Linked DNA regions of Lepisosteus oculatus. Each later gene encodes a partner of the first gene's protein in a complex. Links are inferred from orthologs where the notes say so. Each region holds a gene or a part of one and is shown on either strand. Other genes may lie near its edges.

Region 1 (9,596 bases):
GTTTGAAAGCTATGTTTGTAAATGTTTTATTTGTTAAAATAAAAAAAGCAATAAATTAAAATGCAACATAAGCTTAAATTAGAGTTTGCTTTTTTTGTTATTAGAACAACATACAGAGACATTTCCTGCTCATACTGAACTATTAAACTACTATTTGTGTTAATATATATGTTGCTATCAGTACTAAAGACAATAACATCAATTTTCTTTCATTGCTGAAGTATTTAAAAGATGAAGTATGTGTGACAGTCACGGCTTCAAACTTGCTAATCATTTGTGTTCCAAGTTTTTCACCTTCCATTATAAGTAGATAAAAAAGCATTTAGTCTTAAAGCATTCATAATTAAATAAAAAATGTATGTCCAGATAATTGTTTTGTTACATTGTAATGTTATTTAGTGTGTTATACCCATTTACAGGTTGTCAATCGTTCTCCTACAGAAAGTGAAGTGTACAGCTCTACTGTTAGGCTATTTTGCTTTCTCCAAGTGAATTAAGATTAGTTTAGATTTCTTACTGAAGAAACATCTCATTGCTACTAGCTTCCCAGCACCCCCCCTTGTTAATGATCATGAATAAAAACAGAAAATTCAGTCCACCTTTGTGTACAAGTGGTGTCTTGGCATCGGCCTTTTCTTTAAATTCACAGGCATGTTGCGCTGTCAGGCACTGAGAATAATGCAAACTGAATGTTTGCCAAACTGAAAAAAGCAATTCCTAAAAACATTACGGCATGAAATGAAAAACAAAGCTGATGTAGAGAAAACCCACACTGTGACCTATGCCGTGAACTTGAGAGGAGGATGGTGGGCAAAAGGAAAAGAACTGGACACTGAAGTGCAATTAGAATCAAATGTGTCGGGCTGTCCAGTGTTGTTAATCAGCTTTGCAGTACCTGATTCTCTCTGTTTCAATTAAGAGAACTGAATTAAGAGATCCAATAGTTTTCTTTTATCGAAGCTCTTCTCCTGTGTGATACCCATTGGTGTGATATGTCTGACAAGAAAACAATTTAAATAGGCCTGTATAGCGGAATGGTACACCCTTTACGCCTTTCAGCAAAGCACACAAAACAAGTACAAGACACAAAGTAGAAGCTTTACCATTCATTGAGGAACACCTCAACAGCTGTATCACCCTGAAACTCACAACTCACAAGTGGCAACAGAGTGAGGCCCTAAGCAGGGGAGAACCTGGTCAGTACCTGGATGGGAGACCTCCTGGCAAAAAGGTTGCTGCTGGAAATTGTGTTAGTGGGGCCAGTAGGGGGTGCTCACCCTGCAGCCTGTGTAGGTCATCATGTTTCAGTATAGTAATGGGGACACTATACTGTAGAAAAGGCACCATCCTTCATATGAGACTTAAAAGAGAGGTCCTGACTCTCTGTGGTCATTAAACATCCCAGGATGTCTTTTGAAAAGAGTAAGGGTATTACCCCAGTGTCCTGGCCAAATTTCCGCCTGGCCTTTACCAATAATGGCCTCCTAATAATCCCCATCTATGAACTGGCGTCATAACTCTTTTCTCCTCCCCACTGATAGCTGTCCAGAAAAGCACTATATAAGTGTAAAGAATTATTATTAACCCATCAACATACACTATCATCTGCATCCTAGGGGGCACCACCTGTAATATATTAGATAAGGGGTCTCAAACTCAGTTCCTGGAGGGGCCTGTGTCTTCTGGTGTCTGGTCCATCTAAGCTCCCCATTCCAAGTTACACTGACACCCCGGAACTGGGCGCTAATGCCAGTGATTAAGCACAGGTGTAATAATAATAGGATTGCAAGAGAAGTAGCAGTTTTTAATTTTATCAACTCATTTTAAAGGCATCATTTCTATAGTTTTAAAGGTCTCTTTACTACCACTCCATCCCCATTACTGATAATGATATGCACTGTTTTGGCAGGGTTGCCAACCTGCAAGGTATTGTAGCCAACAGTTTCACCAAATAAAGGATACATATTCTTTAAAGAATTGTAGGTTTTCACTTGAGTTTCTAGTACTGAGTGTAACACCAGTTTGCCCCCAAATCAAAAAAGCATAAAGTGTTGTCATAGCTGTAGATGTGCAGAAGCAAATATCCAACTTCAGATCATATCCTACTTCAAAATATGGATTTTAGGACCTAATATTTTGGAGAGAAGGCAGCTCCAAACTCATGCAGCTTCCTGATGCTGATGCTCAGTTCTGCTCCATGTCTGCAGCTCTGCATGAGGAGTTCTGACTGACTTGTCCCCGTGGCCAGGCTGCACCCACTCCGCTAAGCAGAGTTACATCAAAAAAGAAAGCTGGAATCACTCTGGTAGGCACTTTAAGCTAAGGGGTGTTATCCAAAACTACAATGATAACACGTATGTGTAAAGAGACAGTCGCAAATCGGTCTTGATTACACTGATTGATTGGATCAACAGCAACATCCTGCTGGTGCAGTCAGGCTAGATGTATTCGGACTGAGCACACGGGTCATGTACACCAAGCACAGACCATCATTGCTCATCTTCAATACCAGGGGTCTCCTCCTAGCCCTGGCCTTGGAAAGACCCTTAAGATCCAGAAGGAAGAGTGGGTAACCACTAAAACACAGGTTTTGTATCATTTGGAAGAACTGAATTATGATCATTTAAGCAAGTGCTTTGTCAAATTTACTTATTTACAAATCACTGACAACACGATTCTGAATACCCTTCAGTTCTCTGTTGTAACTCTTCCCTTAATTGAGTGGCTTGCTTGCTTAATTGATCAATATCTTACTCTTGCACCTAATTGTTAAAAAAAGGAGTAATTTGTGGGTGATGCTTACGACTTACTAGAAAAAGGACTGGTTTGGGGTTGTAGACCCCAAAATGAATGTGAATACGTTGATCTCCAGAACTCCCACAGTAAAGGCATGAACTCTGGTCCCAACAACATTTTGTATATTGTTATTATTATGATTTTGATATTATATATATATTTTTTAAATTATTGCCTTGTCAACGTGACACACCTTTGTAATTGTTACCTCGGACATAGACAGATCAAACTGGGGTAAAGTTATTAGTGGTGTTCCACAGGAATCTGTACTAGGACCACTGTTCTTCTTGATTTTTTATTAGTAGCCTCGATTTTGATCTAGAATGAACAAATGTCTTCCCTTCATTTTAGTATGGAAGCAATAACGAAGTTAAACAGAATGTTAGAAGTTACATTGTAGAATTTAAATCAGTAGATGTTGTTCTAAAATTGAGCAATCTAGTAAGACCTCATTTAAAAATTTAGGTCACTAACTTTAAAAAAGATCTCGCTGCTCTGCAATCAGTCCAGAGAACAGCAACCAGATACAACTGTCTTGAAGGACAGTTCTACACTGACAAACTTAAGGAACAGACCCCTTTTGTCCTGAACAGAGGAGACTATGAGGGGACCTTATTCAAGTAATCAGTATCCTCAAGGGCTCAACTTAGTGAACTTCTTCAGAATGAACGGTGAAACATGAACCTGTGGACACAGGGAGGTACATTTAAAACTGAGAACAGTAGGTACTTCTTTCCACAAAGGGCAGTGGGGGTGTGGAACAACCCATTCACATTGTCGAAGCCAGTGCCCCGGATTCTCTGATGGGAATGAGATCCTTGGATCAGTTACAGCTACTAGCAACCAAACAAACTAGATAATGTCTCCTCGCGTTTGTAACTGGTCTTACTCTGTAATTGAGTTTTGCTGTAATACTCAACGCCCTTTCTTGAATAATTGTCTAGGTCTGTGGAACTCGTTCTCTCCAGTGACAGACAGAGAAAAATTACATTACTGTCTGCTGCTGTGCATTGCATGGTTTAATTGTATCATGTGCTGGGTATACTTGTGATTAGAATCTTCATGAGGGAGGGCGTACAGTATGTCAAGCACTCTACTCTTTTAACCCACGAACGGCTGCCGACGTTCCTCCTGGTCCTTGTGATTCATGTCGGACTTGGAATTAAATGATTAAATTGAGATAACGAGTTTGAAAGTCTTGGATCGATCATACAGTATTCTGCTCGTAAACGATTTAAGGGGAAACGCGATCATTTAATTGTATTTTTTTTTATTTTTAACCTTATCTTTGTTGGATTACCTGCAGACTTCCCATCTGGGTTCTGAGGTGGGCTGGAGTTATGCACCATTGATACAATCTTTTTAAGCAAGTCTAAAGGTTCATGAATCCACACTTTAAAAAAAAGATAGGTCAGACAGCCGTACTAACGAAAATAAAGCCTAACTTACAACGCCGCTGTTCACGGTTTACAAGAGTTCCCTAAAACGAAAAGAGAATACAGTGAGGTGTGTAACTAAATCAGGTTAATAACATTCCTCTCGAGTTTATTAAGTAAACAGAACACAGGGGGCGCTACTTTCATTACTGAGAGGTCTACGTCTGGCTTTAACTTCATACACCAAGCCGTAAAAATGCATCTTGGCCACCAATAACCATTATATCATGCTTGTAAGGTACAGCAACGGCAGTGTGTTTGTATATGTATACATGTGTGCTTTTAAATATGCAGATTCCTCCCCTCTGTACATACACAGAGCCCAGAGCCGGTGGCAGGGAAAATTGTGCTTCGAAGAACGAAGTCGGTTCATGATTTGTACCCGGTCCCTAATGAGCGAAGCCTTTTAAAGTTACCGCTGCGCTGCGCTGGGCTGCGATAGGCTGAGGCCGAGGAAGAAAGAGCATTGCTCAGTGCAGATTAGCAGTGCTGCTGGAGAGTTCAGTCATCTCGTCTGCGAGCTCCAGCCGAAACGTGACTGCGAACCTTTTATTTATTTTCTTATCTTTAAATCCCCTCCCCGAACAAGATGTAGCTTCCAGCAGTACGCAAACGCCCACTAGAATACGCTTCTTAATTTCGCGACACTCGGGGAGAGCGGATGACGTCCTATTTTTTTTGCTTACGAATGGAAGATATCGTGAATTATTATGAGTACGTTATATCGGAGCCCCCTTTTTCTGTGATTGTTTTTCCTGCGTCGTGGATTTCTAACTTGGGATTTACTATCAAATCGAGGCGAGTCCCTGCTCCGTGAAGGCAACGACAAGGAATAAATACGTACTCCCCAGATCTGCGTACCGGGGATTTAAATAGTCTTTGGCGTGTTCTTCAAGAAAAAGCATAAACGAGGAAAGGGAAAAATTCATGTGGCAATTCTCTGTTTAGCAAACACGACTTGGATCGCAGAATGAGCAAGGAACGACCCAAGAGGAATATTATTCAAAAGAAATATGTAAGTTCATTTTTTTTCTGCTGCTGTGCGAGGCAGTGTGGGGTTTTAAATTGACCTTAACAAGTTTCCATGTCCTCTCCGCTTGTTGTGATTAAAATGCATTGAGAACTTTGATCTCGGGCCGATTGGATTGAGTCCGCTGGCGTTTTGCACGTTTTTAGTTATGTAGAAACGTTCCCAGCCCTGGTTTCTAGGTAAAATGTTTTTATTTGCAAAGGGGGAGTTCATTTCGGGTTCTCCGGTGGCTGGGTCTACCGTGCAAATAAGGCAGCCTCGTAGGGGGATCACATTACAGCGTTGTATTTGTTTAGATGATTTTAATAATCAGGCGCGGCGTTACCTACAATAACATTTATTTTCCCAGCAATTGCCATCTGGAATGGCTTTGTTTGTTCCTCATATTCTCGTAATTTTGAGCCGTGCACAGACAGCCATAGCTGTAGGTTGCCTCTGGCTCTTTCCGGGTTTAGCATTGCCCGATGCCATTATCAATTTGTTAATAAACTATCATGTTGTCATCGATTTACTGTGGTTTCACAGATGTGCTCAAGGGTGGGAGCATTACCGGAGAGTTGTAGGTGATTTTTTTAGTTGCGATTAGCGAGGACCACGTTTGCAGAAGTCAAGGCCAGTAGACTGGAGCACGCACACACGGGCAGGGGCTGTTTGATCTTTAATTTCATCGCCGAGACTGGGGGAAAAAAAGGCCCGTTTTGCGTTTTGCCTTTAAATTCCCTGGCTGCCGTGTGGCAACACTGCAAACTTCGCAGCCGTGAATCCCCATGTTTCTGTTCCCGGCGATTTGCAAACCGGTTTTATGGTTGTGGAAATGCACTGTGCGAGTTGTTTTTGTTTCGTTTTGCACGTTTTCTCCGTGTGACCTCTGAGTGGTTGTGAGCAGTCGCCGCAGCCGGGGCTGGCTGCCACGATTATTTCAGGGTTTCTTGGTAAATTTCGTGAAGCACGGAGGGGATTTGGGTTTAATCGTTTTAAGAGATCCGCGTTAAAAACACGCCGCGATGTAACAGTAGCTTTGATTAAGGCGCAAAGGTGACATACTGGGGATCGTTTTAAGAAGGCAGTAATTCCAGTCGCATTGCAGAGGTTCATGTTGTGCGAGAGAACAGCAACCATTTTATCTTTGCAAGGAAGAATAAAAACTACGGATAATATAAACCTTGGGCTCAATCACTAGGAGTGTCGGAAGCAAATCCTTGGCACGACGTCCTGTAGTTATATTTTTTTCGGACGAAGTAGAAGGTTGGGGGCGAGTTAATGCTAAAAAATTAATAACAAAGGGGTTTCTCGTGTCGAGTTGCTAGGCACATTTCTGTAACCTTATTTAGCATTTTAACCCCTAACTTTCTGGACTTAAGTCAGGATTCTGTGTGGGTTTGGGGGTACTATATTCTGAAAATACTTCACTTTTATTCCCCCCTATTTATGTTTTCTTATAGGGCCACTTCTTTTGTCAGTAGTATAAATGTAACCATCATGAGGTACTGCAGGAAAGTAGCCAAGGTTTTTGGAGTTCACTGAAGTCACACGTTCCGTTCATTACTTAGCTGTGGCCCGAGAGCGTTTCTTTATTTTTTTTTCTTGAGCCACGACGCTAACTCTTCAGGGCAGACAGCATGGCCTCTCGGTTTTTTTTCTGCTTTTCAGACGTCTGTACAGACTACGTTTAAAGCAACAGGTCAATCCTATCAATTTCGCTGGGTCTGGGGACAGATCACATTTTCCGGTGTCGCGTTGGCGTTTGCGTGGCTTTTTTTGTTGCAAATGTTGGCATATGGAGAACTACATATTCCTCACTAGTAATATTGAGGAGGTATGATCATGGTTTATTGGCAATCGGGAGAGAGTTGTTTGTGGCTCAGCGTTTCAAGCAAATTTCCTTGTAGTATGGCATTTGTAGTCGTGTGCTGTCCATTTAAAAACTTCTCCCCAAAATAAACACAAATTTAATAAACCTCTACGGGCTACAAGCATGAGGAAATCATTTGTCTGAGGCTTTTAATACTTATGAATGAAGTCATGGTTTGGCTCGTGCGGGCATTTTTTTATTGCAACGATAATCACATACAGCATCAAGCAATAAAATCTCATTTTCCATATTTTTAAGTATTGTAGGAACATGAGTTTTGCTAAAATGTGAACTTACTCGACGTCTGAGTTGTAAAGCTGTAACAGGTGATTTCTTTAAGCACAAAAGACGAGTGACAATCGTTCATCGTTTTCTTTGTGAAGCGTAATGAGGTCTGTATTTTATTGGAAGGTATACATCGTCCCGAAGTTTTTCAGATTGCATCTGTTATGATACAGGCTAAAATAGGATTGGAGTTGTGATGACTGAGGAACAGCTCACGTTTTAACTACAATGTAGAAGCGAATTTGTCTGTCCCCTCTGTGCTGTCCCTTCGGAGGGGGGATGGGGGATGTGTTTGGGTCTAAAGTCTTGGAAAGACGTGCTCACGCACCTTGGTTAGACAGTATGAGTTTGCATAATAGGTTTGTGAAAAATAAACCAGAACGGCACTCTGACCAAAGAGGTATTTTGCACTACGAATAAAAGAGCACTACCTAAGTTAAAATCAGTTTTTCAGAAATCCTCCTTGTGGTTGTAGGTAGTGTTGCTGGAGTGGAAAACTCACTGCTCGAGTTGGAGGCTGGTGAGGTGATTATCAGATCGCCAGTTACACGCTTGCGCACACGGTGCACGTACGCGTACGAGTCCTGTGCCTCGTCCCTGTCCCTTGGATCGATTCTTGCACTGTATTTACAAGACACTGGCGGTGTGCTCTTCAGGCTGTTACACAGTCTGATCGTTCTTTGGTTTTATGCCAAAATGTTTTGAACAATCAGAAGCCACTTAAAGCCTGGAGATATAAAGGGGCTAACTGATGTTTTGAACGACTCGAACTTTCTCCGATATGGATGAAATACTTGTGGTGCTTTTAATTGGTAAGCTTGATTGGTGCGGTGATTTAGATAATAGCTCTAGATGTTGAGATCTGGGTTAGAGACATGGAGTGTTTTTTAGATGTTCCTTTACAGCAATTAAATAAATGGAAATTCCACAGCAGTAAGATTTGATCCTGACTTTTGATAACTGAATATGGTAACTTATCAATATGATATAATACGTGCTTAATTCCCAGCCCTGTCAAGTTGAGATTGCAATTTTGTGACCTTCCTCTTTTGTACACGGAAATGGTATCAGTCAAGCAGAGAACCGAGTACCAGTAGCCTGTTAAACCTATCAGAACTTACTATTGTTTAAATATTGTATTTTTTGCGTGGTGATGTCTGGGGTTGGTGCAGCAAGTGAGATATGAAGGGTCTGAATGTACACCTGTTTTAGCAAGCTAGTTAACCCATTGCTTTCCCACAGGATTTACTCTAAAATAATTTCTCCAGTTCCTTGTGATGGAGTCAGCCTGCAAAAATACAGTGTGATGCCTTATAAATGTGAGCCACTTTTGTTCTCCACTTCAAAAACCCAACAGAGGGCGTTTCGGACACCTGGGTTAGTGACGGGATCGACCTGTGTCGATATGAGTCCGGACCTGGGTGACATGACGGCAGACATCAGGTGTACCAGATACATCTCCTGAAGGGTTTTTCCTTCCCCGCTGTTGTTCTGTTCAGCATCCCTGTGAAGTTTTTTTTTTGTAGTTCTTTGGTGAGGAAGTTGCTGAATGTGTTTATTCTTTAGAAAATGGCGTGCAAAGGGGTTTGAAGTGTTTTCTTATTAAATCGGTGGGCGCCTTCTGTTGCAATGCATGTGTGAAGATCACGTTAAGGATCCAAGATGAATCCCTTATCCAATTTGTGTATCCCAGGCAGGGCAAACCCATGCCACTGTATCTAGGAGCCGTTGTGTGCACATCATCTGACTTGTTTTAATCATAAGACCAGTCATCTTGTATAATGTTTAGTCACCAAGGTCTGCAAGAAGAGTGGTTGCAGTAGGGATGAGTTGTGTAACAGTGCATCACAAACTTTCTAATAAGCCTTTTAAAACCGACACATCTACAGTTCTTGTATTTCAGTGCTGACCGACTGACCATCAGTAAGGATTTGGTTTTAAAGAGGTTAAAATGTGCTTCTGTATTCTTTTGACTGCCTCCCTTTAAAATTCACACCAGAACATTTGGGGACTTTTGGCAGCAGTAATGCAGTCCCGGAGAGCTGGTGTTCTGTAACTCAGCACGGCGGCTGTGTGTCTCGTGATAGTTAGAAACATGCTTGTACAGAAGGAAAAAAACCTAAAAAAATCTTGTTTCTTAAAAAAAAAAAATCTGTCTTGGAATTTGGTAAGGGGCGGAGCTTGTAAACAGCAGGTA
Region 2 (10,155 bases), on another chromosome or scaffold:
TCTTGCATAGATCTGAATGACCTTTGTTTTGCACATTTAGAAGCTCAATCTCACAAAGGCAGCATTTCTCTCAATGGATGAATGTTAGGTTAGCTACAGAAAACAGTCAATCTTGCAATGAATGGCTGTGATTAACCTTTTGCATATCTAAATATAAAATATCATTTGGTCTGTCTGATTCCATTACTGTCGCCCATTCAAGGAGTGCTTCACGGATTTAACAAAATCTTCCTTTTCTACATCCGTGTGGACTATGCCCCAGAATCCTCTTAGATAACAATGACTTATCTTGGATTCACGCTGCCTGTTTATCTAATGTAACTGAACAATAACTGTTTTATTTCACATCTTTCCTTTCTTCTTATAGTATATCCAGCATTCAGGCTGGTCACCAGGAATAGGAAGGAGGCAGGATTTATCCTTCAAAATGAGTCAACACCTTCACAATTCCCAAAAGGGAGACTATATTTGTCATGAACTGTACCAGTAATGTATTTTAATGTATATCCATTTAATTTTAAAAATGAGGTTGTCGAGAATTCATGGCTGAGCATGAATTCCTGCAATCAGCTGTAACTACTACTATTGCCTGTGAAAAAAAGCCCATACACTTCTACCTGACTTTTCTTTTAAATTAATAACTATTTTCTTGTCCACACATATATATATTACATCATTTATTTAGGGTAGAAAAAAAACAGATTTTACTACTACGTTGGACTGCAGTGACAGTACAGGGGCTACTGTTTCTCATGAAAGAACAAGATCTTTCTGAAGTAGCTGTCTAATGAGAGCCTTTTTCTTCCACGGCAACAGAGTGGAAAAATCACTGAAACCCAGCTTTAAAGCTGAGAGGAGACAGCAAGCAGTGTGTTTTTAGAACAGGCACTGCCTTTATATCCCCACCATTAAAATAAATAACAGAGCCAGACCAAGGTTCTGAGAAGAATCACTGCACCTCCTAGTGGTGAGAGCTGAAGACTGATTTCTTACCCAGTCTTACAGACTGGGGCTCAGACCAGCTAAGCCAGGAACTTGTCCCTTTTTAATAAGCCTTTTATTTCTGTTAAGCACCAGCTCTTAGACGAAAATTGCAGATTGGTTTTCATGCCAATGAAAATCAGTCAGCAGGGACCAGCAGAAGAGAGTTCAATTATATTTCTTTGAACTCCACTTTCCTCTACCCCAGGGTAGCTGAAGAGAAAAATCTTACAACTCCACGACACATTGGATTTTTACATATTCTTGTGCAGTACAGATTTCATCTTACTTTTTAGGATGTAGGAAACAAATAATTCTGACACATACATTCATCAGTTCAATCATAAAACAATTTTCTAAATCAGGGAAGCATATCTGAACCTAGTCATGAAATTTATGGCACAGATGTTGATGTGCTCTGACCATGTGGCAATTAAAAAGGTTTACTCAAGAAACAGCACTTCGGAACAGAGGATATCAGTGTGTGTCGCCCTGATACCCCTCCCTCATGTCGAATTACAGTATATTGTATTGGCCGTGTGCCAAGAGATAGAGCTGTGGAGCTGTGATGCCCTGGAGCTCCACAGCATGTTTGCATAAGGGCCTGCCAGGAACTGTGGCAAACACTTCAAGTTATTGATCTGTTAGCACTGTGGTGCTTGTCCTGTGTGTATGGGTTCTTCTTAAATATGCATGTGTACCAGCATGCAAAGCAGCTAAGGGCAGTGTGTGTGGGAGGTGGCTCCTCACAGGGGTCATCGGTATTTGGGGGAGGGGGGGTGGTGGTCTCGGCACCCTAGGAGGGTGTGGTGAGAACTGCAACAAGGCAGAGCTGCAGAGTGAGCATCAAGCCTTTGCAAACAGCAGGGAGGAGTACTACATCGGCACCAGAGAAGTGGGAGGAATGATGCGGCTTTTTCTCCTGTCTGGCACAGAGAAGTGCCGGGGCACTGTGGACGACAGCCTCCAGTGCCCAGGAAGATAGAGGAGGAGGCAGCGAGGGACCCCAGCCCGGCAATGATCCTCGAGCCGAGGCACTGTCAGCATGACAGGGCCGGGCACAGCAGATCCTTGTGGATCTAGACAGAGAACAGGCCTTCTGTTATCAGCTTCTACTCGCCACACTTGAGCACCTCTTGAGAAAATATTGCCAGAGGCCGGCCGGGTGGAGGAGGCTGGAGGTGTGGAGCCTGAGATCCCTTGTAGCAAACCTGCAGCACTTGTTGAAGCAGAGTGATCCCGGAACGGAGGCAGAAACGAGGTGCCGGTGTTTGGCGCATTCCTCGGGGGACTGGGACTGGTTGGATTTCGTCAGCAAGTCGCCCTTTCTGAGATCACCAGTCTGGGTGAAGCGTATGCTGTTCAAGTCTGGGTCATCGTTTCAGAACAGGCCGAACAAAGCACTCCCCCCGAGTTCTGGTCAGCTGAGACACAGGAAGCAGCAGACAGCAAGGCCATGCCATGAGGCAATCACAAGACAGTCTGGGGAGCAGATGCTGGAGGAGTGGACAGAATGGCCGTCTCCAGTGGCAGTTTTGCCACCCTGCCAAGTAGACGCAGGAGAGCGCGAACAGGGCACCTGAGGCGAGGGCTGGTCGGCTTAACATCCCAGCCAATCCCACAGCTGAAAGACTGTAGAAATATTATAGGTGGCGTAAGGCAGTGAGGAAAATAGCCTGCACTGTCTAGATTTACACTGTATAGATTTCCAGTGCATCTTTGGGGGCCTGCAATGCAAGACACTCATTTATGTTGTTTCTGCCTTGTCAATGATAAATCCACGGACTCTGCCTATAGGGGAGAGAGGAGAATGCAGATGCTGGGCAGACATTGGACTGAGGTGAAGGACAACTGCCATTCATGATGGGCTCAGGAACAACCGGAGGTTCAGCTGCCAGCCCTCCCAGAAGCAGATGACCACCAATTTCACATACTGGTAGTGCAGACCAGCAGTTCCCAGAACTGATCCTGGGAGGTCTACACACCTGGATTTTGTTTCTGCCAAGTCCTCAGTTACATAGTTGAACCCTTTATTGATTTAATAATATGATTCACTCAAACTGTTTTGCTTTAACTTCTGCATTTCACAAGCCACTCAAACGTTTGCAAACGTTCCAAACAAGCACATCAATAGATCAACTAAGGCTTGAATAAAGTAAAGAGATTGAATAGAATGAAAACATGTAGGTGTGTTGGCTTCCAAGATCAGGAATGGGTACCCCTGGAGCAGACAGACAGGGGAGCACACTAACTCTATAGCTTGAACATGGCCCCAGCAGCACCTCAGGAGCCTCGCAGAAGAGGAAGGCTGAGGAGGTCTCCTCAGCACAAGCTGGGAAGTCGAGTCTGATGTGAGAAGACCACTCTATGCCCTCATCCAGGGCTTCAGCTGGACTTGCCTCCCCAGGGACCAGAGCATCTGCCAAACCAGATGAGGCTTCAGCTTCCAGAAGCCTGAAGGACAGGTGGTCCAGTCTTGACTTCATGACTTTGAAGCGGAGCATCGCTCTGGAGTTCAGCACCTGAACTTGGAAGGTCCTGCACATGGGTCCTGAGAGCAGGCAGAAGCCCAGAAGGAGTTGTTGGGGCCAGCCGCCACTGTCAGCACCCCTGTCCTGGGCTTAGCGTTGAACACAGAGGGGCTGTGACGCGAGCTGGGCTCTCTCAAGTAGAGAGACTCGTCGCACCCTGTGACACATCGTCATCACTACCTGCAGACGCAAGGAGAGGCACTGCCCACTGGTCATCCTGCGAGTGCTGAGGAAATGCTGTTGCCGGTAGTCCATGAAACTGAACCCGAGGCACTTTGGGTTGGCTACATCACACTACACGACTTTTACTAGGATTTTCAGTCGTAGCCTTCATTTACATGATCGTAAGAAAATCACAGCGAGTTGGAGAGAGTCGCAGTGCATGCCCGTTTCCGTCAGGTATGTAGTGTGACACCCCAAGCGACTCAGTTATAGCCCCTACGACACTCCGCGACTCCTACGATATCAAACAGGTTTGTTTTTCTCGTAGCCAGTTGCAAGTCACAAGTAGGGGCGGGCTCTTGTGTCTGTGACAGTCACAGCCAATGAGTGCTCAACCAGAAGTACAATGCAGACAACGCCCACAAACAGTGAAGAATTATGCAGCTGCAAGGAAAGAAGGAAAGCGAGTGTTTTGGACTGTGCAAATGGAGGAGAGGCTCGTCGAACTCTGGAGCCAGCACAGATGTCTGTTTGATATTTCGTGTTTGTTCTTAGCTTTCGTGCGGTGCTCCTCCTCTTATTCCGGTGTGCTCCACGTTGATTGGCTACCAAAACGAGGCAGCCCCGTGGTACTTTCACAGCGCAGTGCGAGATTTGGAACCGCGACGAAAAGTCATGAGGGAATCGTGTAATTAGTCACACCCTGCGATTCCTAGTCGTATAGTTTGACACCCTCTAGGACAGCAAAGGCAGTGAGATTTAGCAACTGCAGTCGTTAAATTTGACTTGCTCTCCGACTAGAAGTCGTTTCGAGTTCTGTTGTGTGACATGCACTTAGCTGCTGCCATGGGGACACTGGACATTTCTGCAAGAGCAGGAGGCTCTTCCTGGCCACTGTCATGCTCCCCTGTAACATTATCAGGAGGGGGCACTGAGGAGCACTTCTCATGTTTTGCTGGGGAGTGTAGGAATGCCTTGAGATTGAATGACATCCAGCCTAGAGTTTGTTCTGCTTTAAACCCTGTGTTTCTGGGTTAGACTTAAAACCACAGGAACCCATACCGTTAATTGAAGACTTAATAAGAAAGGTACTTTTGCTCATGCCATGAGCACTGATCCTCCTGATGCTCCGTGTTGGAAGTCACTGTGGGATACTGAAAGAACTATGACTCAAAGTACCACAATGCACTGCTGTTCAGGTACAGTAAATAGTCTTTGCCGATTCTGAATTGACACTCAGTCATTGCTGGATGTTCTAACAGGCAAATGTTACACCACAAAATTCAACATTGTTACTGACCTTTTCAACCAAACGCGGTTAACATCTTAAAAAAATAATATACTTAAGTTTGAAAAGTAGGTAGAAGACACTTAAGAAAATCACCCTGAAAAGCTGTAACATTTTAAACTGGGGAATAAGTTGTTTTGATTAATTACCGTTTGATTATGTTTTTTACATCAAAAGCAAACTCTTATACACAAACACAACTATCGGTGAGAAGAACGGAATCATCCAAAGAAAACACATTTTAAAATAAAAACATCTAATCTAGTCTCAGTTGAAAACTTTAAATGAATAAGGTAGTTTGCTTTTTTTCAGGGCTTCTTTTACTTTCTCAATAATGTTAAGTAGACAGCAGTCAAAAAAAAAAAGCACAGGTTCCTAAAAGCCTAAAAGCATTAATTGGAAGATTAGTCATAGCTCTGTTAAAATGAAAGCACTGGTACAATCAAGCTCTTCTGCAATCACTAAAATAACCATATAAGTAGTGGCCTTTTCTGTTTTGGAATAACCTTTCAAACGCATAACGCCCAAAAGAGTTTTAAAGAAACGAAAAGCGTGCCTACAACCTGTGCAAGGTCCAGATGTCTACGCACCCTTGGTGCAAAACGAAGCTTGTAGTACTTTCCAGAGCACGTGTTGGCGTTTTGAATGAACGTGAACATGTGTCATGACGTCACTGACCACCTCCTCCTCCACCGTCCCTGTTTCAACCTCCTGTGGATCTACTGCACTCTCTGTTATGTGTGTGTGTGAATAGCAGAGACAGACGCAGGGGGGGGAAAAAAAACAGACATTTCTCGCAAAGATGGCTGCCGCTTCCACCGATAGCGCCGAGCAAGATTCCCCATCACCTAGCAACGAGAACGGGGCGCCGCCGACAGGAGAGACCGAGGACCAGATGCGAGGCCTGCCGCTGCCGGGACAAGAGCCGGGTGACGGGCAGGCGGTGAAAATGGAAGAAACGAACGGCAACCGGGACAGGGAAGACGACGACGACGAAGAAGAAGAAGGAGAAGGAGGAGGTGTGGACGTGAAACCCTCGTCTGCAGCCAGGGCAGCCGAAGCATCAGGGGCGCCCGGGGACGAGGAGGAAGACGAGGAGGAGGATGAGGAGATGAGCTGCGAGAGCGCCGCGGGCGAGGAGAGCTCGGAGCAGCGGAGCCCGGCGAGCAGCAGCGACCCCGGGGACGGCGCGGAGAAGGAGCTGAAGCCCGGACAAAGGGAGGAGAGCGAGTCCGGCTCCAGCGACTGCAACAAGAGCAAAGGCGAGGATGCCCCGGAGAAAAACGGCAGCGGGGAGAGCGAACACGGGGCCGCCAAGAAGCGGAGGGCCAGCGTGGAGATGTCATCGTCGGACGGGGAGCCGCTGAGCCGCATGGACTCGGAAGACAGGTCGGTGAAACTTCACGGGGGAGGGGAACACACCCCACAAATTCAACAGGAAAGGCGAGCCCGCTACAGTTAGGTGATCTGCCCTCCCTTCGCCGGCTCGATGGCATCGGCGGGGGCATGAAGTCTCTCCAACTTGTGGAAATTGAGTTAAAACACAAAATCACAGGTCCTGCCCCCGACCGGCGCTTTAGTTTTGCGCATAAGAGCCCTTTTTTTTTAGTTGCTGATTTATAAGCAGGAGGGTGCACGGTACCATCGCCCTCTGATGGGCTTTTTGGCTCGTTCTCGTGTGCGTGTTTTGTACCCGTAATGACGCCACCCGTGGGTCGCTTTTCGCCCGTTTTCTGTGCGAGTTTGTCCAGTTCAATTTTTTTTTCTCTCCTCCTCCTGCGGATTGAGCGTCGCGCTCGGTTTCGGATGGGGGGGGGCATGACGTCTTAAAACAACGGGGGGGACGTTTTAAACCCTCGCACAACCTCCCTGCGTGCGAAAGGGGATTTAAAATTAAAATCTGTTCTGTATGTCTTTCTGGAGGGGGTCAGTTTGCCCCCACAGTGAAAGCACACGTGTAGCTGACGTGAATGTGAATGGGGTCGGGTGCAATATGGACGGACGGTGGTCACTGGGGCTGATGACGATGCGAGAGGCTTACAATTGAAGGAGGAAAAAAAAAACTGAACCCCCCCCCCCCCCCCCAGCACCGAGTTATCAATGATCCAGTTGATCGGCACCCGTGGGTAAGGATGGTGAAAGACGCAGCCAGCTCGCCATCCGAGTTTCTGCCCCGTTTCAGTGGCCGCATGCTTGCCGTGTCGGGGGGTATGGGTGCCATCTCAAGTTTGCAAACGATCACCGCGCCTCGCTTGCCGTGGTCGTGATCTCGACAGATAGCCGCCGTGGTTTGTTGTTGTCGGTACCATCGGGAGCCTTGGTCGTTAACGTGGCCCGGGAAAAGGTGAACAAGGGCCGTGGAGGATGAGCGAAGGTGCTTAGACGACCTTGGCCTCCGGATTCGGTTCGGGAAAAAAAACCCGAACAGGTGGTGGTCTGGGGTGGAAAAAAAAAAACCACAGTATTGGGGGAAAAACTCGGACCAGGTTAGGCTATTTAAAAAAAAAAAAGGCGAACGACACGTTTTGATTTAAAGCATCGTGGACAAAATAAAAATGAAACGCAGTGTGATAGGACCTGAAGTCCGAATTTAGGCTTCCCTTTCCCGCGGAGCAAATGTAACTTTATCCAGTAAAATGCACAAGATATTTCAGGACCAAGATTATCTCGCACCGAGTTGAGGTCGTGTGGAGTTCAAAAAGCTTTAAACCCGTACGCCCCGTGTAAGATTAGCAACGTGAATCGTTCACATTTAAAGAATATTTTGGTAGCGTTTTAATATTGTTGTACACGTTTTTTTTAAAAACGTACACGCGTCGTTTCTAGTCTTTATGGGCGCATACGTACACCAAGAAAGTCGCTAAATATCTAAGTATAGAGAAGGTTCGGTTGGAGTTTTTTTTAAATTATAATAAAAAGCTTAAAAAAATCGCTGAGCTTTTGTTGTCTGTTGGCACATACGTTCTTGCTCAGGAAAGAGAGAGGGGAGATGGGGTTTCAGTCCAGAAAAGAGATTTTTTTCCCCCAAATGTTGCCCATTTATTTAGTTGTAACTTGCTCTCCCTAACACCATAGTTTGTATAGTAATTCTCCATTTTATGACTAGCCAAACAAATGTAATTGCTGGAACGTAGTGTGTCGCCAAAGTGGTGAAAAATACTTTATTTTACGTGGTTTAACGTCGTACTTCACTGAAATAGCACAGTCTTCGCAATTCAGACTAGTGTAATACAGCGGACTCGGCCCATTTGCTTAGCCCTCTCTGTGGTGTCCGTTCTTGAGGAAATTTCATCCATGAGTTACGGTCATAGCAGGAATATGAACGCATATCCCTTCTTTCCACTTCTCATTTTCCAGATGGCAAAAACTTCAATTCCCCCCCTTGCAAGTAGGCTTTTGTTCCCACTGTCATTATCATAAACAAAAAAACAACAACAACGAAATGAAGACAGTGTGAGCACGTCGTGTAAAAAGGACAAGCATTGGTCTGTCTTCATTATGCGATTGGGATCATTAAAGGATTTGCATTTAAGAGCTCCTCCAAATGTCGTAAGAAATGAAACATTAAAAGGCGGATTAAAAACGCATTGCAACTGTTGTTGCTCTCCTGTTGACATTGTTACAACTTTGGTCGATTTAAGAACCTGTTTTGTGTTTTGCTTAATGAGAACGTCAATTCCATTACAATTTTATTCCTTAACACCTGTTCCTTTTTCCTAGCTATTTGTATGCACATTTATTTTTTTAAGTGTTTTTAACCCATTAGCTAATTAGGTTACAAAATAACCAATTTGACTCATTACTTCCCCTTTTTGGTTTCCACAGTGCTTAAAAGCTCCGCAGTGTCCTTAGTCAAGTCAGTAGGCAGTAAAAAAAAGTCCCCTCGTTTTTCTTTATCAATAGCGACTTAACCTACAGGTCTGGGTTGCGGTTGAAAACAGTACTTTATAGAAAACACAGAAAAGACATGCTGTGCAGTTATTAGGGGAGTGATTTGATTAAATTTTACTGGGCAAAAGGGTGAGAAAAATATGTTTTAGCGGTCCAATCGCATTCTTTCCAGTTTCCAAATCACAGCTGTTTACGAAGTGATATCTCTGAAGGAATTGCTTGCTGCCAAGAGTAAAAAAAAAAATGAAATCGGAAAGGAGAAAATGCTGTTGGAAGACTTTGTGTTATAGGTGTGACTGGAAGCCTTCTGCCTGTGTTATCTTCATCAATCATTTCTAGGTCGGTTGTGAAATGCTAAGGCCAAAATTTTGCCAACTCTCTTTGAAGTGAACATTCCTTTAAACGCTTTCCTGCAGTCATATAACAAGTGGGATAGGTGGTAGTTTAGTCAATCGAAATCTCACAGACCAGTCTCATGGTTAGATTGTTTTACAAGTGTTTTCTGACCGTGTGTCCTCAAGGATGTGTATTTTAAAGAATGTTTTCACTTGCAATTGACGGCTGTTTCAACTCACAGATATATTTGAACTTGTTTGCCTACCCCCTTGAAGCAAAATAAGTGATACACACATACATGACTCCCTGGGATGATCTTAGATTCTAAGGTCTAATTTTAGAAAAGTTTGGTAATTGTTTTTACACCTTTTAAAATACTTATTGAAAGATAACTAAATCAAACTCATCTTTGCATATATTTAGATTGTAAGATTCTTAGTTAACTCTGTTGCCGTTCCTGAATAACACTGAAAGGCAGAAAGAGACAAAATTATACATGGAAACATGTGTTCTAACCTAAGCATCTCATGCTTTATTTCTCCTTCTCTATGTACTTTGTTCCAAGTTCTTACAGTGTAGCAAAGTGCAAAAAAAAGAGTAGGGGTGTAACCCCGGTGTCCTGGCCAAAATTTCCAATTGGCCCTTACTAATCATGGCCTCCTAATAATCCCCCTCTATGAATTGGCTACATCACTCTGCTCTCCTCCCCACTGAGAGCTGATGTGTGGGGAGCGTTCTGGCGCACTATGGCTGCTGTCGCATCATCCAGGTGGGGCTGCACATTGGTGGTGGTGGAGGGGAGTCCCCATTACCTGTAAAGCGCTTTGAGTGGAGTGTCCAGAAAAGCGCTATATAAGTGTAAGCAATTATTATTATTATTATTAAAAATGCACAAATTAAGCAGGTTAAACTTATGAGAAATTCTCAGGTTAAATTCAGTGAAATTCTCTTCACTATTTAAATCAT
Region 3 (9,984 bases), on another chromosome or scaffold:
GGCGCCCTGTCCGTGGTGCACCCTGCCTTGTGCCCTTCGTTTGCTGGGACAGGCTCCAGCTCCCTCGCGACCCTCAGCTGTATCAGTTGGATAGCGTGAGGCCCTGATGAGCTCCGACGCTCCTGCATCAATTCCATCAAGTTCCACAGCACCTTCCACACGTGGAAGGAGCTCGTCAGGGCCAGGCTTATCAGCCTCATTAGGGAACCTCAAAGACTATTAAAACCCTGGGGAACCATTCCTCAAGGCTCAGACATTTGAATCTTTAACTATAGTGGATCTTACGGGTCCCTTGGGTCCTCAAATCATGCCCCCCCCCCTCCAATTTTCAGTCCTCCAGTTCCAGTTTCCAGATGCTCCCACTGTTAATCACCCATCAACGCTTCCTCACTCCACCTCAGATCCATCTGCCCCCTCCTGCGCACCTCTCCTGCCTGCTTCACCTGCGCATCTCAGTGGTCCACCACTCCTCCTCCGATTTCCATTTATTACATTATTACCATCCCCTCATCCAATAAACTCCAGAATCTCTACCGCTGGTGAGATTAATCTGGCCACGCCCTTTTTTCCATCCTTGGGCCCGGCGTAGCGGTTAGAGGACGGAGAGGTATTTACGCCACGGATGCCCCTGCTGTCAGGCCTGAAGCCCAGGTGAGGGAATGAGCTGGGAAGACGTGTGGAATCCGGCGCTCAGAGACCAGTGAACAGGCCCGGGTTTGTCTGGGCTCTCTGAGAGGAAGGGGGCAAATCGCGACAACCTCGCATCTGAAACTTGGTTGAAAGCTTGTGTCATGTACATAGGTACAATGTGCAGTGCTCCCAGTGGCAGCCCCAAGTGTCACTAGCCTGTGTAGAACCCCTGTGAACCATCCGCTGATGACAAATGTCAGTCAGTATAATGAAGCTGCTGTGGCCTGTAAGTACGATAAGAACTCTGTGCACCTGCTACAAAACCAGCTTTGTCATTTTCCTGATAACTTAGTGAAGTTGTTGCCGATACGACCAATGCATTTAATTTGATGCTCACATACAGCAAATGCTTATACAGTATAGATAGCTTTTGATGCTATGCATATACAGCAATTGCTTGTGTTAAAGTAAGTGCAACAACATTAGGAACAAGTGAAAAAAAAAGCTCATAACCATTTTAGCTTTTGACATGCAACGCTTGATTTGGAACAATCTGGAGCTGAATAGCTTTGCGCAGTCTGACAACTCCTTTGCAGTTTGACGATGAAGGAATGTCACTTTTCCTGAAGTTATTAGATGGAAGAATGCAGTACAGAGCTGATGTCAAACTGTTTTAAGATTTTTTTAAAACACTCAGTACACCTTTGTGTACACAGTGTATTTGATTAGAGAGCAAGATAGAAGATTTTGATAAAATACTTCCTGGTACAATATTTTAAAGGTCATGTCAAGTCCGTAAACATTAGAACAGACATTTTGTGTAGGTTGTGGTCTATACTTTCCATCATCATTATTATTATTTCTGTTTTTTTTCTGTTTTCTGTTCTAGATAAACAGGCTTCCTTCAGGGAATCATAAAATGTCCTTATTGCAAATACACTATTTTACCTCTTTTTTTTCAAAGTAAGAGGTCCCTCAGAGATCAGTTTCCCCAGAGTGTTTATGTGCCATTTACATGGGTGTTTGCATAAATGGAACAAAAGAGAACCTTTGGTGCACCAGAAAAATGATAGTGTTTCATGTGTTTCAGCACAAAGAAAGAAACAGACAGTAAGTCTACGATTATTGTAGTACCTCCCAGCCAAACGGTAGATTCCTGCATGAGAGCAGGACACTGTAAAACATCAAGGATGCTGGGGGGAAACAGGTTCAAGTAAGGAGCTGCATCAGTGTGCGTTGCCTGCAAAGAAATGAGTAAAGAGTCCTTCCATGCTGAAACATAGAAAGAAATTCAAACATTTCAGCTGTTGAGCCTTTTTCAAGGGTGAAGTTGATTCTAAAAACAGTTCTTCTGCCTCACACCTACATCAAAAAAGAAGGTTGTCTGATTGTCCTTTAAGCACTTAATGGAAATATGTAATAAGAGTTCCATAGGGCAGTTTGTACTCGTGGTTTGTGCTGTCCACAGCACAATCAACCTCTGTGACTGAGGTTGCTGACACTTGCTTGTATCTACCAGCTGCTGACTCGAGGTCTGGGTGAATTTTGGCTTACAGAATTTTCAATCGTATGCATTTGTGTGGTGCATGCAGTATTGACTAAGGCTAGAGCCTATCAGGGCTCTCAGTAGAGAACGCATTCCCTTATCACTCCTGATTTGTAAATTCTGTGTCTTAAGGTTAAGGTCCTTTGGATGAGACGTAAAACCAAGGTCCTGACTCTGTGGTCATTAAAAATCCCAGGGTGTTTCTTGAAAACAGTAGGGGTGTTACCCCGGCATCCTGGCCAAATTACCCATTGGACTTTACCACTAATGGCCTCCTAATAATCCCCATCTCTGAACTGGCTTCATCACTCTGTTCTCCTCCACACTGAGAGCTGGTGTGTGGAGAGTGTACTGGTGCATCATTCATTCCCCATTACCTGTAAAGCGCTTTGAGTGGAGTGTCCAGAAAAGTGCTATTTAAGTAGCTCAGACATTCTGCTAAATACATCTACAACATTGGGGGTTCAGGGATAAGGGAGGGAAACTAAGTGGGGTTAACATTTAAATTTCAAAGGTAGCAGATAAAATGTATTTCAAGTTGGACATGTATTCGCTTATCACCAGCAGATGTAAAGATAGTAGAATTAATGTGACAGTTTCGATTGGGTTTTTTTTTTAGAGATAACACTTCTGGCATTACTAGAAGGGTGTTAAAATGAAACGTTCTTGAGATGTGAAACTAATTCGCACATTAGTTTCAAACACAATTTAAAAGCAATAGGCAGCAGCCACATTTGTTAGCCGGGACAACTACATTTGTGCATGAGGCAGGATTAAACCTAGGGAACCGACAGCAGGATCTTTCAGAAACCAGCACTGTAAATCTCTGGATCACTCAAACCTTTATTTTAAGACCTTTAAGAAATGACAATAAAAGAGAGTTTTAAAGAATGATGATAGTTTGAGAATCGAGAACACAATTAAAAAATCCCCTTCTACTACCAAATAGGTGGCAGAACAAGATCAGAAGAGCCTGATTCTGAAAGCTATGATGGCAGAGAATATTTTCAGCAATACTTATTCTATATGAATTACCTTCTCTTTTGAGAAATCACACTTGCTTCTGAGGTGGAATTTTTTTTCCTGACATTATTGACAGGATTAATGATGAAGCACTATTCTGGTTGAGCACAGTTTTGACGATATTATTTCACGGTGCTATTCAAGGGCAAGAGAACAACGCCACTAGGTGGCCGTTTCTCAAAATACAGCTGTCAATATCCTTATTGTTCTCAAACTATTCTGTGTGAGTTGTCATCTGCAATCATTTGATTTATCCCAGATGAAGCAAATGCACAGTGGACAAACAGATTCAGGGAATAATATATACAAACTACAATCACTTGACAATCCAAGAAAATTGTACATTTTAACCAATTAAGAACATAAACCTAGTCACTAACTGCACATTATATACACAGAAGTAAGCAATTAAATGACTGGCTCTCTAAATGATCTTCACATTTGGAATTACTGTTTGTTTGAAATGTACTGTAATTCTAACCTGAAAGTGTAATCACAAGAGGGAGAAATGGGCATGACATGAACATCGGCAGACTGCTCTTTTTTCTGTCAGACATTCCCGGTCCTGGTCCTGCTGGTTGTGTCCCAGCTCAGCTCTTGGCTACACAACTGAACCCCTAACTGACTGCAAAATAAGATCAATTTGACCTGGCTGCCTTTTCCTCAAATTGTTCTGTTTTCGAACTGCAACCCGTTCAGGGTCAAATCCCACCAATCACACCAGGGCCAGTTTTCCCAGAAGACCATGAACTTCCCAGCCCTCACCAATCATGGCCTCCTAACAATCCCCCTCTGTAAATTGGCTTCATTACTCTGCTCTTCTCCCCACTGAGAGCTGATGTGTGGTGAGTGTTCTGGCGCACTATGGCTGCCGTCGCATCATCCAGGTGGGGCTGCACATTGGTGGTAGTGGAGGGGAGTCCCCATTACCTGTAAAGTGCTTTGAGCGGAGTGTCCAGAAAAGCGCTATATGAGTGTAAGCAATTATTATTATCATCCAGGTGGAGCTGCACACTGGTGGTGGTGGAGGGGATCCCCATTACCTGTAAAGAGCTTTGAGTTTTCTTTTTCTTTTCAGCATGGAATAAACATAAGTTTTTGCTTAAACCTATTACTTGTACTTTTCGCAATTCAATTGTTGCTGGATTGTTTTTTAACCATGTTCTTAAGAAAAAATATCTTTTTTCACGCTGTTTTTTCTTATTTTACCCCGAATGGTCATATTTTATTTTGACAGTGTATCAACCAAAATTGAACAAGCTCTCGATATATGCTGTACATAATGACCTTGATTGTTTAAACCATTTGTTCAATGAAGATATGACAAAGTAAAATGTTGTGTGTGTTGTTAAATAAGACAAATAAATAAAAAAAAATATTAGATAGATGAAGACCAGATCTCATTTTAGGAGCCATTCATGCAGAAATCCAGATAATTCCTAAGGGTTCACAAACTTTTTCTCACAACTGTAAAGCCTCGAACTGCTTATCAGATATCAGACACAGTGGCGCTCCTTGACTTTTTTTCCACAAGGCATACAACCACTGCACACGCAATTATGTACATATTTGCCGAGAGGCGCTAAACACATTACAAATTATGTTGTCGGCTGTCTGTCCTTGCCACACAATACGTGCCCCTTAAAACATTTACACGGCAAATTAAAACAGAACAACTAATCTGGGTGCGATACATCACAAATACTAAAATAAATCGAAAATCTATCTGCCTCCCTTTTCCCCGCGGCTCTTCGAGTACCACAGCTGCCGTGTCGCACACCTGAACGGTACAGCGAATCTTGTACATTTGTTTCTCATTTTAAAGAATTATCGGAAAATAAAAATAAATCTACAGCACGTCACCGTCCCTCACGTGTGTGAATTTCATAGTGATAAAACCTTGATGTTCTTAAGTGTATCAATAGGAAAAGGCACAGAGTTTGGGTCACGTAGCAGTAATCATTTTAATATCACTAACGTGGAACCGAGGGGAAAGTGCGACAGTTATGATCACTTTACGGGAGTGTGGCAAATCTGTTGGATAAGTGGTCTGTTCTGGTTCAGACATACTGGGCGGGCTGTATTCCATTTATTGTTGGGACTACACAGGTTAAAAATATAATAATGGTCAGATTTAAAAAAAAAACAGCAGGTCAAGATGGACATTCCTTAAAACCCTGTAGGCTCGCGCGTTCCGCTCGGCGGCGGCGAGGGGTTATGACGTCACGCGCCAGCGACCACCCTCCCCAGGAGCGCGCGCGCGCCTGCAGTTTTCCGGGGCGATTCGGCCATTTCCAGCGCGCGTCTGCAGCTCGAGCCGAACGGTTTGCGGCGGTGTGGCCTCGCGCTGGGGGGGAGGGGGAAGTGGAGGAAGAGGAAGAGGAAGATGAAGGAAGATGTCTGAGAGCCAAGCCGAGGCGGGAAACGAGATGCCGTCGAAAAAGCAGAAACTGAGCAGCGACGAGAACAGCAACCCCGATCTTTCGGGGGATGAAAACGTAAGGCCGAGCTGAGCGCTTCTAGAGAGAGCGGTGACTTCCAGCGTCGGGGATGCGGGCGGCGTGAGGTTCCCCTTGACGCCCGTGTCTCGATTTTAGACTAAAAAGTTGGGTGTAAAAATGGGTGACTGCTGAACCACAGCAGAGGCCCCGATCTCTGTGCAACAGCGTGAGCCGCTCACCCGCGCTGGCGGCGTTACAGCTGCTGCTGTAGTCTCGGTTCAGAGCTGGCTACTCCTGGCACGAAATTATATTTTTGCCCGGCGATGTAGAAACGGAACGGTATTTCCATCAGGAATATTCTGTTCGTCGTGCGGCCGCAGACACAAGCTCCTAGTTGTCTTCGTTCGGCGCTCTTATTCTCTAAATTTGATATTTTTTGGGGGGTTTCATGTTTCTCGTCAGATCAAACTTATTTATATTAGTTCGATGTGTTTTTTTTCTTCTAACGCGAGATACAGGGGAGATTCGCGGTGCCCAGCCTCAAGGTGCCCGTTGTCTCCCCGTGCGGTCGGTCACCACTCCTGGAAAATAACGTTACAATCCTGCTAAACAGGTCGTCAGAAAGCAGTTAACGTGCCGAAACCTTCGTTACTTCAGACCTTCTTCAAAATGCTTTTCAATGCCAATACCGTTTAAACCGGTGGCTTAAAATACCATTTGTTTTGTGTGTGTTTTTTCTTTGTAGTACTTCGTTTCGGTTGTTTTAAGAAACAGTCAATTGAAGGGTGAAGGACACCTTTACTGCAGCAGCGCTACAGAATTTATCACTCGTCTCTAAAACACGTCACCAAAACGAACCGCTCACTGCCGAGATGGCGAGACGCTCAGTAGAGACAGAGCTCCCCGGAGACATCATTGACAGTCTGAGAAGGAGACTGGGCATTCAGTTGTCGGGCTGACGTGCTGTTTTCATTCAGCCGTACGTGTGATAGAGGATTTCGTGTCGTTTTTAGCTGTTACGGTCTTCAAAACGAAGACGGATGTTTTCAGTGTTAGAAAATGTGTAGCATTTTAAAGCAAGGAACGGGTGAATGCAGGGTCTTCCTGTTGAAGACACAGGTTAAGGAGCCGCACGTTGAATAAGCTTGTAGGACGTTTTCGTCTTTCTTTACATAGAACAGCCTTGAAAATGGCCCGGAAAATTCCGATGAGTTTTCAAACTCAGGGTACGAAAAAAATCACATGATTGCTGTTTATTTTATCAACATACACGGTTAATTCAGGATTTGAGTGTGGCTTTTGTGCTGGGAGCTGGAAATTTCTTCAGACCTAGTTGCCCTTATTGAGGTGCAAGAGGATTAAAATGGGTACTGGGATTATATTTTCTAGAATATTTCATCGTTTTTTAATGTAATGGTCGACACCCGGTTGGATTCGAGTATTTGTTTGCCATTGCATCAATGGAAAACGTACTTAAAATGTACTGAATGAGGTTTCTCTAGCGTGCTGCAATAGAAGAATCAATCACTCGTTTGGTTGAAATAAATACAAGGTGGTCAAGTGACTTCCTGTTGACTTTGAAGCCGGGCAGGATTTTAACCCTGTTCTTAAACTAAACTTTGTTAATTTGTAAACTCGCTCATCTTTGCCATGTGTAATACCAATCAGACAAATCAGTGAAATTGTTCAGCTTTTCAGTCTGTCTTTTGGCAGGAATAGGGAGCAGCCGATCGGGATTTCACATTTCCTGAATTTGGGCATTACAGACCAGTTTTCATCCCAGGTTACAAAGCTGAATGTACATTTTTAGTTCAATTTCCGGTCAGCTTTCGGAATCTTTCCCTGTCTCAAAGTGTCCCATTGTATGCAGAGTCCCATAAATTACAATGCAGTTAATTGTGAGGATCAACAGTCAGTCTTCTGAGGGTTATCAGTCTCAAATCTCCCTTGCAGATGGTTTTATTTATTTGGTTTTATTTTTTTTCCACTCCATGGCATTAAAATGATCAGTGTGCCACGCTGGATGTGTGGCGGAAAGTGCCCCAAGGAAGACGCTGCCACTCTGTGCTGTCTGTGTTGCAGGACGATGCCATCAGTATAGAGAGTGGGACCAACACCGAGCGCCCAGACACCCCCACCAACACGCCCAATGCCCCCGGCAGGAAGAGCTGGGGCAAGGGCAAGTGGAAATCCAAGAAGTGTAAATACTCCTTCAAGTGCGTCAACAGCCTCAAGGTGAGTGTAGCCACAGGAGTGTGCTGAACTAGCTTGTGAGTGTATGAAGTAGGAGGACTGGTCTTTTCCCAGTTTCGGATGAAACGAAAACCGAGGTCCCGAACCTCTGTGGTCATTAAAAATCCCAGGGCGTTTCCCGAAAAGAGTAGGGGTGTTAATCCTGGTGTCCTGGATACATTTCCTCCAGGCCTTTACCAATCATGGCCTCCTAATAATCCCCATCTCTGAACTGGCTTCATCACTCTGCTCTCCTGCCCACTGAGAGCTGGTGTGTAAAGAGCTTTAAGTGGAGTGTCCAGAAAAGTTCTATATAAGTGTCAGGACTAATAGTATTAACAGTTCAGAGAGGTTCGACATGCACTTGGTGTTTTGGAACGTGACATGGAGCTGTGCTTTCACAATTCCCCTAAACTGTAATTTTTAATGCCTGCAGTGCAAAGGGGATGCTTAATGGACATATTTAAAATGTGCAGAATGTGAATAACCAAGCAAGCATCTTTCCATTATGCATGCTTTCCTGGTGGAAGGCACTTGAGAATGAGAGCAGTAGGATAATTGAAAATGGCGGAATAAAAGGAGCCACCAGTCTGTGGTCTGCCTGATTTGGAGAGCTGGTCTTCACTTGTCTCTCCCGCCTCATGGTGCCATTGCTTTGAATCGCAGGAGGACCATGGGCAGCCTCTGTTTGGGGTGCAGTTTAACTGGCACAGTAAGGAGGGAGACCCCCTGGTCTTCGCTACAGTGGGAAGCAACAGGGTAAGTACCTGCACCAGTTATGTTACCTGTGCAAACAGCAGGACACTTTCATGGCTATGGTTACAGTATGTTTAAGCTGGTGGGGAATATTTCTAGGGTCTGAATAAGGATCTGAATTATTAACTGGTGTGATCAACATACGGGGCAGTGTGGTGGCTCTATGGCTAAGGATCTGCGCCTGTGGCTGGAAGGTTGCTGGTTCATATCCTGCAGCTGGCAGAGGAATCCTACTCCGTTGGGCCCCTGAGCAAGGCCCTTAACCCCAACTTCTCCAGGGGTGCTGTATAAAAGGCTGACCCTGCGCTCTGACCCCAAGCTTCTCTCCCTGTTTGTGTGTCTCATAGAGGGCAAGTTCGGGTACAAATTCCTAATACAAGAAATTGTATATGGCCAGTAAAGTGATCTTATACTGCAGTGCTTTTCAATGTCAACCAAACAAGTATAATTCAAATTAGTGTGAAGTTGCGGTGAAAGCTGTGATTAAGCAGATGACTCAGCTCGGGTACTGTTTTCACTCTATAAATATATTGGCTGTGTTTACCTACCAGTAACAAAAAGTCAACAAATAGCTTGTATAAGTTAAAAGAAGGTTTCACAGTTGAAACATTCTCTTTTCTTTTCCTTTCAGCATGGAATAAACTTTTACCTGTTAAAAGAGAAGCAGTTTAACGTCCACTGTAAATGTAAGGTGGAGCTTTTGTTTTTTTCTGCAGGTTACTCTGTATGAATGCCATTCCCAAGGAGAGATCCGCCTGCTTCAGTCCTACGTGGATGCTGATGTATCCTTTCCCTTGTCACCTGAGGCTGACATTGAAGTCCTACGTCCAGTGGCAGGAGAGCTTGTGTGGAGCTGGTGACTCAGAGAAGTGTGGGCACTGAAGAGATCTGAGCCTCTGGTTCCTCGGCAGCCTCTGGTCCTGCCTCCACGCTCTCGGCAGTGGTGAGCAGAGGACCAGGGCGGCTCTAAAGCTTCCTCTGCTGTCAAATCTGCGTTCCTGCAGCAGTGCCTGGCGCTAGATCTTCTTCTAAAACAGAAATGCGTTTTTTTTTTGGGGGGGGATTGCTTTGTCTTCAGGTTAAAACAGACCAACAACCAGCAGCTCCTCGGGGGGAAAAAAAGGTGAATCCCCCCTTTTGTGTCAGAATCGAAGAGACTTGATTAAAAACGGCCGGGGGGGGAGGGTGGGCGATGTTAATCACGAGGGTGCCCGTTAAGCATGAGCGCTTGGGTCCTTAACCTGCGGTGCCGACCAGGCTGATGAGAATTTCTACACGTGCGCCTGGACGTTCGACACCAGCACGAGTCACCCCCTTCTTGCGGTGGCGGGGTCAAGGGGCATCATCCGCGTCATC

The links. Proteins that work in one complex are often made in the same cells at the same time.
Region 2: the proteins of jarid2a (region 1) and aebp2 are in contact, whole or in part, in a cryo-EM structure (PDB 8VNZ), measured with the Homo sapiens proteins. The link is inferred for Lepisosteus oculatus from reciprocal best matches to the Homo sapiens genes JARID2 and AEBP2. Residues at the interface, in NP_004964.2 of Homo sapiens: Ser148, Lys151, Pro152, Lys153, Thr154, Glu155, Asp156, Leu158, Thr159; in NP_001107648.1 of Homo sapiens: Arg407, Ala410, Ile411, Asn414, Leu415, Glu420, Ser421.
Region 3: the proteins of jarid2a (region 1) and eed are in contact, whole or in part, in a cryo-EM structure (PDB 6C23), measured with the Homo sapiens proteins. The link is inferred for Lepisosteus oculatus from reciprocal best matches to the Homo sapiens genes JARID2 and EED. Residues at the interface, in NP_004964.2 of Homo sapiens: Pro109, Gln114, Arg115, Lys116, Phe117; in NP_003788.2 of Homo sapiens: Pro95, Phe97, Tyr148, Arg306, Asn307, Tyr308, Cys324, Asp362, Ile363, Trp364, Tyr365, Arg414, Asp430.

The regions. Positions count from the first base shown.
Region 1 is NC_090705.1:16,313,763-16,323,358, forward strand, and holds the start of jarid2a (protein Jumonji), read left to right. Parts: upstream 1-4,678; 5' UTR 4,679-5,202; coding exon 5,203-5,247; intron 5,248-9,596.
Region 2 is NC_090702.1:49,795,602-49,805,756, forward strand, and holds the start of aebp2 (zinc finger protein AEBP2), read left to right. Parts: upstream 1-5,646; 5' UTR 5,647-5,764; coding exon 5,765-6,351; intron 6,352-10,155. UniProt on the Homo sapiens protein: Acts as an accessory subunit for the core Polycomb repressive complex 2 (PRC2), which mediates histone H3K27 (H3K27me3) trimethylation on chromatin leading to transcriptional repression of the affected target gene.
Region 3 is NC_090710.1:28,192,358-28,202,341, forward strand, and holds the start of eed (polycomb protein eed), read left to right. Parts: upstream 1-5,475; 5' UTR 5,476-5,595; coding exon 5,596-5,697; intron 5,698-7,722; coding exon 7,723-7,875; intron 7,876-8,538; coding exon 8,539-8,631; intron 8,632-9,344; coding exon 9,345-9,410; intron 9,411-9,885; coding exon 9,886-9,984. UniProt on the Homo sapiens protein: Polycomb group (PcG) protein. Component of the PRC2/EED-EZH2 complex, which methylates 'Lys-9' and 'Lys-27' of histone H3, leading to transcriptional repression of the affected target gene.